2 linked regions of the Cricetulus griseus genome follow. The protein of the gene in region 1 interacts with the protein of each later gene in a pairwise test. Links are inferred from orthologs where the notes say so. Each region holds a gene or a part of one and is shown on either strand. Other genes may lie near its edges.

The links.
Region 2: the proteins of Tchp (region 1) and Krt16 interact in binary tests that used the Homo sapiens proteins (3 or more experiments, as listed by UniProt). The link is inferred for Cricetulus griseus from reciprocal best matches to the Homo sapiens genes TCHP and KRT16.

The regions. Positions count from the first base shown.
Region 1 is NC_048597.1:94,317,717-94,322,010, forward strand, and holds the start of Tchp (trichoplein keratin filament-binding protein), read left to right. Parts: upstream 1-1,487; 5' UTR 1,488-1,632; intron 1,633-2,229; exon of another isoform or gene 2,230-2,264; coding exon 2,265-2,458; intron 2,459-2,803; coding exon 2,804-3,014; intron 3,015-4,294. UniProt on the Homo sapiens protein: Tumor suppressor which has the ability to inhibit cell growth and be pro-apoptotic during cell stress. Inhibits cell growth in bladder and prostate cancer cells by a down-regulation of HSPB1 by inhibiting its phosphorylation.
Region 2 is NC_048600.1:112,353,965-112,357,968, forward strand, and holds Krt16 (keratin, type I cytoskeletal 16), read left to right. Parts: upstream 1-1,197; coding exon 1,198-1,734; intron 1,735-2,194; coding exon 2,195-2,277; intron 2,278-2,447; coding exon 2,448-2,604; intron 2,605-2,690; coding exon 2,691-2,852; intron 2,853-2,940; coding exon 2,941-3,066; intron 3,067-3,341; coding exon 3,342-3,562; intron 3,563-3,658; coding exon 3,659-3,714; intron 3,715-3,855; coding exon 3,856-3,950; downstream 3,951-4,004. UniProt on the Homo sapiens protein: Epidermis-specific type I keratin that plays a key role in skin. Acts as a regulator of innate immunity in response to skin barrier breach: required for some inflammatory checkpoint for the skin barrier maintenance.

The sequences.
Region 1 (4,294 bases):
AGTGTAAAAGAATGAAATATGTTCCTGATTTCTCTATTTCTCATGCTACTGTTCATAGTAAAGTTCAACAATACCACTATAGGAACATAACTACAAGGTCAAGATTAAGATGCTTTTCATGGTCCCCCCAAAAAAATCTGTCTATTTTTAAATGGTAATACTTTCAGCCAAGTTGCTTCTAACATGAATATGCTTCTAACATGTCTAATACTTATGTTTCCACAAACTCTAAGGATTCTTGTAAGTTCCAGGGAGCCGAATCAGATCCAAACAGGTCAGATTCACTTCATGTAATATTCAACCTTTCCCCGGTCCCAAATTCCCTTCATTCATCTTGGGACTCCTCAGGAACCCCTCCCTCATCTTACAATCTTCCCCTCAAGTGACAGGATCTAAGAAAAAATTTTTTTCTAAACTTAACCTTGTCCTCTGCTCTGTCAACATCTTGCCAGGTCTAAGAGGCATCAGGGAGTTCCATACAGCCTGGACTTCAATGAAACAACCAGCTTCCCCAGGACGTGGCAGCACCCCAACCTTCTCGGGTCCCCCAAAGATGGTCAACGCCCCCCACATCAGCAGGAAGCAGTCTTGAGAATTCGACGCCCTTATTCCTTAACCTGCCATGTCTAACACCCCACCTTTTTAAAATAATAAGTAGAGGTGGGAATGAAAGGTTCAGGCATTATGCTGGCCTGCTCCTGTTACCTGGTGGAACAGGCAGTACCCTGGTCAGCCCAAGATTCCATGGGAACTAAGTCTGCACGCAGATACAGAGGACCCCTTTAAAAGGACAGGTCCCTGCCCATTTATGCTCTCTGTTTCCTCTCTGTTTCCCCACTCTGCTTTGTCTCTGCTTTCTCTCTACTCTGTCTCCCACCTATGCTCTCTCTCTGTCTCTCTATGGTGACCGACCATGGCAGTCAGCCATTACCCTGTTCCTCTTCTCTTAGTCTCCCTACTCTGCCGGGCCTTATAATAAACTTATAGTCTTATGTCTCATGTCTCAGCATTCTGGGTGCTGGGTGCTGGGGATTGTGAGTTCAGAGCTTTGCACTTGCTAAGCACACACAATCGCGGAGTTCCCCAGCCCTGCTTTTTTAAAAATGGAATAGTTAATGCATAAATACGTGCAATCATGTGAGTTACAGTTATTAAAACCTCTGTACCCACCAGTAATCCAAGACATCAGTAGGAATTTACCAAAGACTTGTAATTACCCAGACCAGCTGTTACTGGCCTCTGCTGCCTACCGGGCAACACCCAGGGAGCACTGAAAATCATTTCTTTTTCCCTCGGGGCGTCTCCCTGGATGATTTTGATGTGCCCTATTTGAGAAACATGGGCTTAATTCTCCTCTCTCCTATTCCCTTGGTTTTCACCCCCACCCCGGGGACCGCCACCCTGACTCTGGGTCATGACTCACTCTGGCACCTAGCGACACTTGCTGTCGATTTTCCTCCTACCGCGAGGGGGCGCCAGAACAACAACTTCCCTTCTTTTTCCTGGTGAGCGGCTGCGTCGTGCAGGAGGTACTTTGGCCTTCGCGGCCTCCGTCGTCCCGCGGGCTGCCGGGCAACCGAAGGGGAAACGGCTGGCGTCGCTGCCGCTGGCGCCACAGAACTCTCGGATCTGGTGAGCGCGTGCTCGGGCTTAGGCCGGAGCCTCTTCTTGGAGAACTTGGGGTGCAGGGAAACACAAGTCAGAGGCTAGGCTGGGCCGAGACGTCCGCTGTCTTCGCTGGTCGGAGGTCTCCGGACACCGGATGGGGTGCATGTCCGGTGCTCGCACACACTGATAACTAAGTCATCGCCTTTAGTTACTTTTGTTGCTCTGGGGACAGGGCTTCCTGTTTTGCCCAGATTGGCTTTGAACTCCTGGACTCAAGTGATCTCGTCCTGCTTCGGCCTCCAAAGTCCTTGGGGCTGCTGGGGCCTGCCGCGGAGCCCTGCTTGCCCCTGTCATTTTATGCCTTTCCCGGCCTTGTCAGGAAGATGTCTGTGTCGGTAACGTCCCTGATAATGGCTGGCTCGCTGCCGGGCACAGTCCAGGTTCATTTAATTTGATAATTTGCAGCCTCAGTGGCACATCATTTAAAACGTGCGGGCCTGGGCCTCGTTGTAAAGTTTTGGGTGGCAATGTGGATCCTAAAGCTGTTATAAAGGTGCAGCCAAAGGGCGAGCGCCCTCGTAAAAGACAGGAGACCATCCAAGTAAGTTCCTGAGTTTGCAGCTGGCTTCGATTCTGCCCGCTGATGTCCCCTTCAGATGGCGCTCCCCACGCTGCCCTCTTATTGGCTCACCCGGAGACCCCTGGACAAGAAGGTAGCACGCCAACGCCAGCAAGAGCAGGAGGCCCAGCTTCGCCAGCAGTGGGAGCAGAACAGCCGTTATTTCAAGACTACGGACATCCACAGCTCCAAACTGGCCGAATGGAGTTCCAAGACCTCCTACCAAAGGAGGCAAGTATCAATGTCCTGCCTGCTGATTCCTACCATTAGCTGCTGGGGGCATGTGGCCTCAGGGCCTAAGTACTGTGGCTTGTGACAGCATGAGTAATCTATATGGTGATGCTATTCTAGCTGGAAATGGGGTGGTGTGTGTGTGTGTGTGTGTGTGTGTGTGTGTGTGTGTGTGTGTGTGTGTGTAGAATAACCAGTGAAATAACATGCATTTTGAAAGATAAAATCTATCAGTCATCTTTTCTGTAGGTGTTTGTGTTTAAATACCCGCCCCCCAACATATATAGAAATGCATATGAAACTGTGGCCTGGGTGTGGCTGATTCTCAGTGGGCTCCTTACCTAGCATGAACGCCTACCATCGTGAGAAGATGAAGGAGGAGAAGAGGATGAGTCTGGAAGCCCGCCGTGAGAGACTCAGGCAGCTTGTGCTGGAGGAGCAGGACCTGCTGGCCGCTGAGCTGGAAGAGCTGAGGTTGAATGTGAACCTGCAGGAACGAAAAATCAGGGAACAGCACAAGGATCTGAAGTCAGCCCGAGAAGAACGAAGGAAACTGGTAACCAGCCTAGACCCAAACAAGGTTGCAGAGTGGGAGTGTCTGAAGGCTGAACTGACCGTTGCATCTGTGGGGTTATTCTTGGGTGCCTTGGTCAGATGAGTTGGCCAGATGATTCTAAGAGTCCATGGGGAAAGCACTTTATTTATTTAGGGAGAAAAAGTCTATTTTAGCTCTTGGCTTTAGATGGTCTCAAGCCATTAGAAGTAGGGTTTGGTTTATAACATTCAATGACATGCCGGGGGGGGGGGGCTGCTTCCTCGAGCTAATTCCTCACCACTAAAGGCACCCAGGCTCCTCTGAATAGTGCCACCAGCTGGGGAGCAATTATTTTTGCTGTTGGTTTTTTGTTGCTGTTTTGAACGTGTCTCACCATGTAGTCCTGGTTTGCCTGGAACTTTCTTTGTAGACCAGCCTGACCTCAAAGTCACAGAGACCTGGCTGCCTCTGACTTCCTCATGCTGGGATGAAAGGTGAATAACGTGCCTGGCTGAGGGCAAGCATTTAAAATGTGAGCCTGTGATCAGAACCAGATATGGTAGAATGTTAAGGATTTGCCGGAGGTGGGGAGGACAGCTATGTTTTTTTCTGAGACAGGGTTTCTCTGTGAAGCTGTGGTGATGTATCATTTATGTTTAATAAAGATTGCCTGAAGTATCAGAAAGCAAAGCCAGACCACTATTTAGCTGTAGAAGCCAAGCAGTGGTGGTACACACCTTTGATCCCAGGACTCAGGAGATAGGCAAGTTGATCTCTCTGAGTTCAAGGCCACCCTGGCCTACATAAGAGTGAAGAGTAACAGAGCTCTCATGCCTTAGATCCCAGCACTTGAGATCACATGTCTTTAATCCCAGCCCTAGAGAGGTTTATAAAAGACAGGAGCCCAGTGTCTCAGGCTGAATTCTGAGGTTTATTCTCCAGCCACGCTGAGGAGAGGCAGCAGTCTGAGGCTTGGTGAAGAGTTCCTGGAGACAGGACAGCCCTTTCAACCTGAGGTAGAGCTAAGAGCTAATGACTGGCTTTGCTTTCTCTACCTACGACACTTTTTATTAAATCATAAATAATGTATCACCACCACATGTAGCCCTGGCTGTCCTGGAACCCGCTGTGTAGACCAGGCTGGCCTCAAACTCAAAGATCCACCTGCCTCTGCCTCCCAAATGCTGGGATTAAAGGTGTGTGATGGCTAACATCTGGTTTTCTTTCTGTAAGAATGGAGTTAATACTGGCCACAGAACAGGGTGAATGAGTTTGCCAGCAAGAGTGAGGGCCGACAAAAA
Region 2 (4,004 bases), on another chromosome or scaffold:
ACCAAGCCTAGCCTGGAACCATGGCCACCAAAAAGCTGCAGATCAGCCCCTGGGCAAGATGGTTTCCACATGGGGACTCTGAGGCCCCTGGTGGGTGGAGTGGAGGTGGGGGTGGGGACACACCAACAGTATTAGGAGCAGGATGGAGTTTCCCCCCACTGCAGTCCACTACAGACAACAGAGGCAGGCCCTGAGTAGGTGAGGCCAGAGGTGGGATGGAGGAGCTGTGCACTGGAATGAATGCTCTTTAGGTGCAGAGCCTCATGTTAGGGGCCAGGATTATGGAGGCGGGTGTGAAAGGCAGCTAGCCTGCAAAAGAAGGTTGAAGAGGCTGGCCACTGGGGTAGGGTCCTTCAGGCATGCTTCTTTGTGACTGTTATATATCCTGCAGGCCCAGAGGGGTGACAAAATCCTCCTGTACTGGTCAGTGAGTGAGGCAGGTCAGGTGTGTGGCTGCATAGGATATGGTTGTTGTGTACGCCACTGTGAACATCCTGGCGTCTCAAAGGCAGCCTCCAAATCCAAGTTAGATCCCATAGGAAAGGGAATCCTTTGATTTTTAGAACTTGAAAGGACTACAGCTACTCGGCCCAGACACGTCCCTGCGGAGAGAAAGCAGGCACAGAGAGGGGAGGTGAAGGGCTTTGGGTTCCACAGTGAGCAGCCCAGCTCTACAGCATGGCTTGTGAGAATCCCATGATGGCACCCCAAGACAGCCTGGGAGGGTATCAATGGGGCTTCTGCCACCTAAGGTTCTCACTGTGGGGCAGGGAGGCTTGAGAGGTTGACTCACTGCCTGAGGACGCGGCTGTCACAGAGCTGCCGGCATCAAGACCTCACTGTTGCTGTCCCCTCAGGCTTCAGGAACAGAAGCCTGGCCAGCCTGACTCAGTGCTAACTCTGATTTGTGTGTTTTTCTCTCGGCTCCACGCCCCCAGAACTGGGTGGGAACTCTGAGCCAGCACATGGAGGGGAGAGTCCACCCTGGGCTGAATAATCCAGAGTGGGGAGTTGGACGGGACTTAGTGACGAAATCCAGAGGGGAACCTAGAGTCAGCAGTCGAGGGCCCCGCCTTCCCCAGGTGCATATAAAGGAACCTGGTGTCTGAGGCACCCACAGCATCCACATCCTTCCCTGAGCTGCTCTCTCTTCCCTTCGCTCGCTGACTTGCTCACGCTCTCACCTCTCTGGACAACATGACCACCTGCAGCCGCCAGTTCACCTCCTCCAGCTCCATGAAGGGCTCCTGTGGCATCGGTGGCGGTTCTAGCCGCATCTCCTCTGTCCTGACTGGAGGATCCTGCCGGGCTCCCAGCACCTATGGGGGCCTGTCAGTCAGCTCCTCTCGCTTCTCCTCTGGGGGAGCCTGCGGCATGGGGAGCAGCTATGGTGGGGGCTTCAGCAGCAGCAGTTTTGGAGGATATGGTGGTGGCATTGGCTGTGGCATTGGTGGTGGCTTTGGTGGTGGCTTTGGTGGTGGCTTTGGTGGTGGTTTTGGTGGTGGCATTGGTGGTGGCTTTGGTGGTGGTGATGGACTCCTGGTGGGCAGTGAGAAGGTGACCATGCAGAACCTCAACGACCGCCTGGCCAGCTACCTGGACAAGGTGCGTGCCCTGGAGGAGGCCAACACTGACCTGGAGGTGAAGATCCGTGACTGGTACCAGAGGCAGCGGCCCGCTGAGACCAAAGACTACAGCTCCTACTTCAGGACCATCGAGGACCTGAAGAGCAAGGTGGGTGGCTCTGGTGGATGAAGTAAGAGGCCAGAGCTGCAGTGGCTTTTAGGAAGCCACTTCTAAGAGTCTGATATATAAGGAAGAAGACTGAAGACCTTTGGAGGCTCATGTTCAGAGTTACCCAGAGACGTGGTGGAGGGTCCCTTTCGAACACCCCTGCCTTAGCTGGAACAGGGACTCTGACTCTTAATGCTCTTGAGGCTACTTCATGTGGAAGCTCAGCTCCTTATCTCTGGGCCCAGGATAGGGGTGGTGACAGACAGAAGTGCACCCTGCATGCATACCCTGAGGTGGGTGGCGGAGTAGCCAGTTGTCTGCGGAAGCTGTTGGAGCTGACCTGCCAGCCATGTGATCACTGGATTTGGAGAGACTGCTTTGCCCACCTCTATCCTTCTGCCTTGAGCAGAGGGTCCCTGACTGGCTCATCAGACCACCTATCTTTTCACTACCGTTCTAGATTATCGCGGCCACTCTGGAGAATGCACAGCCCATTTTGCAGATCGACAATGCCAGGCTGGCAGCTGATGACTTCAGGACCAAGTGAGCAGCCATCGCACCGGGAAGAGGACAGAGGGCAGAGGGCAGAGGGAGGAGGGCAGAGGGCAGAGGGCAGAGGGCAGAGGGCAGAGGGCAGAGGGCAGAGGGCAGAGGGTTGGGCGCAGGGACAAAAGAATAGGGCTGTCCATCTGCAGCTCTGATCTCTCTCCCAGGTATGAGCATGAGCTGGCCCTGCGTCAGACCGTGGAGGCCGACGTCAATGGCCTGCGCCGGGTGTTGGATGAGCTGACCCTGGCCAGAGCCGACCTGGAGATGCAGATTGAGAATCTCAAGGAGGAGCTGGCCTACCTGAAGAAGAACCATGAGGAGGTGAGGCTGCTTCTGGTTTTGGAGGAGAAAGGCTGATTTAGTGACGTTCCCAGGAGAGATGACCACCTCCTTATGATCTTTCCTAGGAGATGCTTGCCTTGAGGGGTCAGACTGGTGGGGATGTCAACGTGGAGATGGATGCAGCCCCTGGCGTGGACCTGAGCCGCATCCTGAATGAGATGAGAGACCAGTATGAGCAGATGGCCGAGAAGAACCGCAGGGATGCAGAGGCCTGGTTCTTGAGCAAGGTGGGACTTACCTCCCCCGTACTCCTCCTGGACTCCTGGGCTGGGAGGCTTTGGAGAGACTCACACCTTGTCCTCTCTCCTGTTTCAGACTGAGGAGCTGAACAAAGAAGTGGCCTCTAACAGTGAGCTGATACAGAGTGGCCGCAGTGAGGTGTCAGAGCTCCGCAGAGTGTTCCAGGGCCTGGAGATCGAACTACAGTCCCAGCTCAGCATGGTATGAAGAATCCTGCCCCAGTGAGGTCCCCTAGTCACCATCCCTCAAGAGGGTCACCATCCAGTCCCACTTTTCATTCCATGAGACTGGAAGTGGTGTCATGGTATCCATTATAGAGAAGGAGAAATGAAAGCCAGAATGTTGGGAAAACATTTCTCCAATTTCCCCCAGCTGGGGTCAAGATCCCTGTGTCTATCAAAAAATGTGCCCAGACAGAAATGCAGAGACACAGTTGGTCATCACCACCAACCTTTCCCCCTTTCCGCCACTCACAGAAAGCGTCCTTGGAGAGCAGCCTGGAAGAGACCAAGGGCCGATACTGCATGCAGCTGGCCCAGATCCAGGGTCTGATCAGCGGTGTGGAGGAGCAGCTGGCTCAGCTGCGCTGTGAGATGGAGCAGCAGAGTCAGGAGTACAATATCTTGTTGGACGTGAAGACGCGGCTGGAGCAGGAGATTGCCACCTACCGCCGGCTGCTGGATGGCGAGGATGCCCAGTGAGTTGGCCCTTAGCCCCTGTTGGCAGCACCTCTGCCCCCTGCTACTCCCAGCACATCTAACGCTCCCATGTCTCCCTGTTTACTTCATCCCAGAATCTCCTCCTCGCAACACTCATCTGGCCATTCCTATTCTTCCAGAGAAAGAGAAGGTAAGGCCCCGGGGGTCCACAGACTGATTCTGTGATTTAAGGGCCAAACCCCTCCTCCCAGAGCCCCGACCCTCCCTTCCCCACTGAGTGGCAGTTTGCTTAGCTCCCAAAGCCCACCTATCTTTTCTCCTTTTTTTGCAGTCTTCTCCTCATCCTCTCGCCAGCCCCGGTCCATCCTTAAAGAGCAAGGCTCATCCAGCTTCAGCCAGAGCCAAAGCCAGAGTTCCAGGAACTGATCTGCCTCACTCCTGACCCACGCCAGCCTCACATCCTGGAGGCCTGAGCCAGGA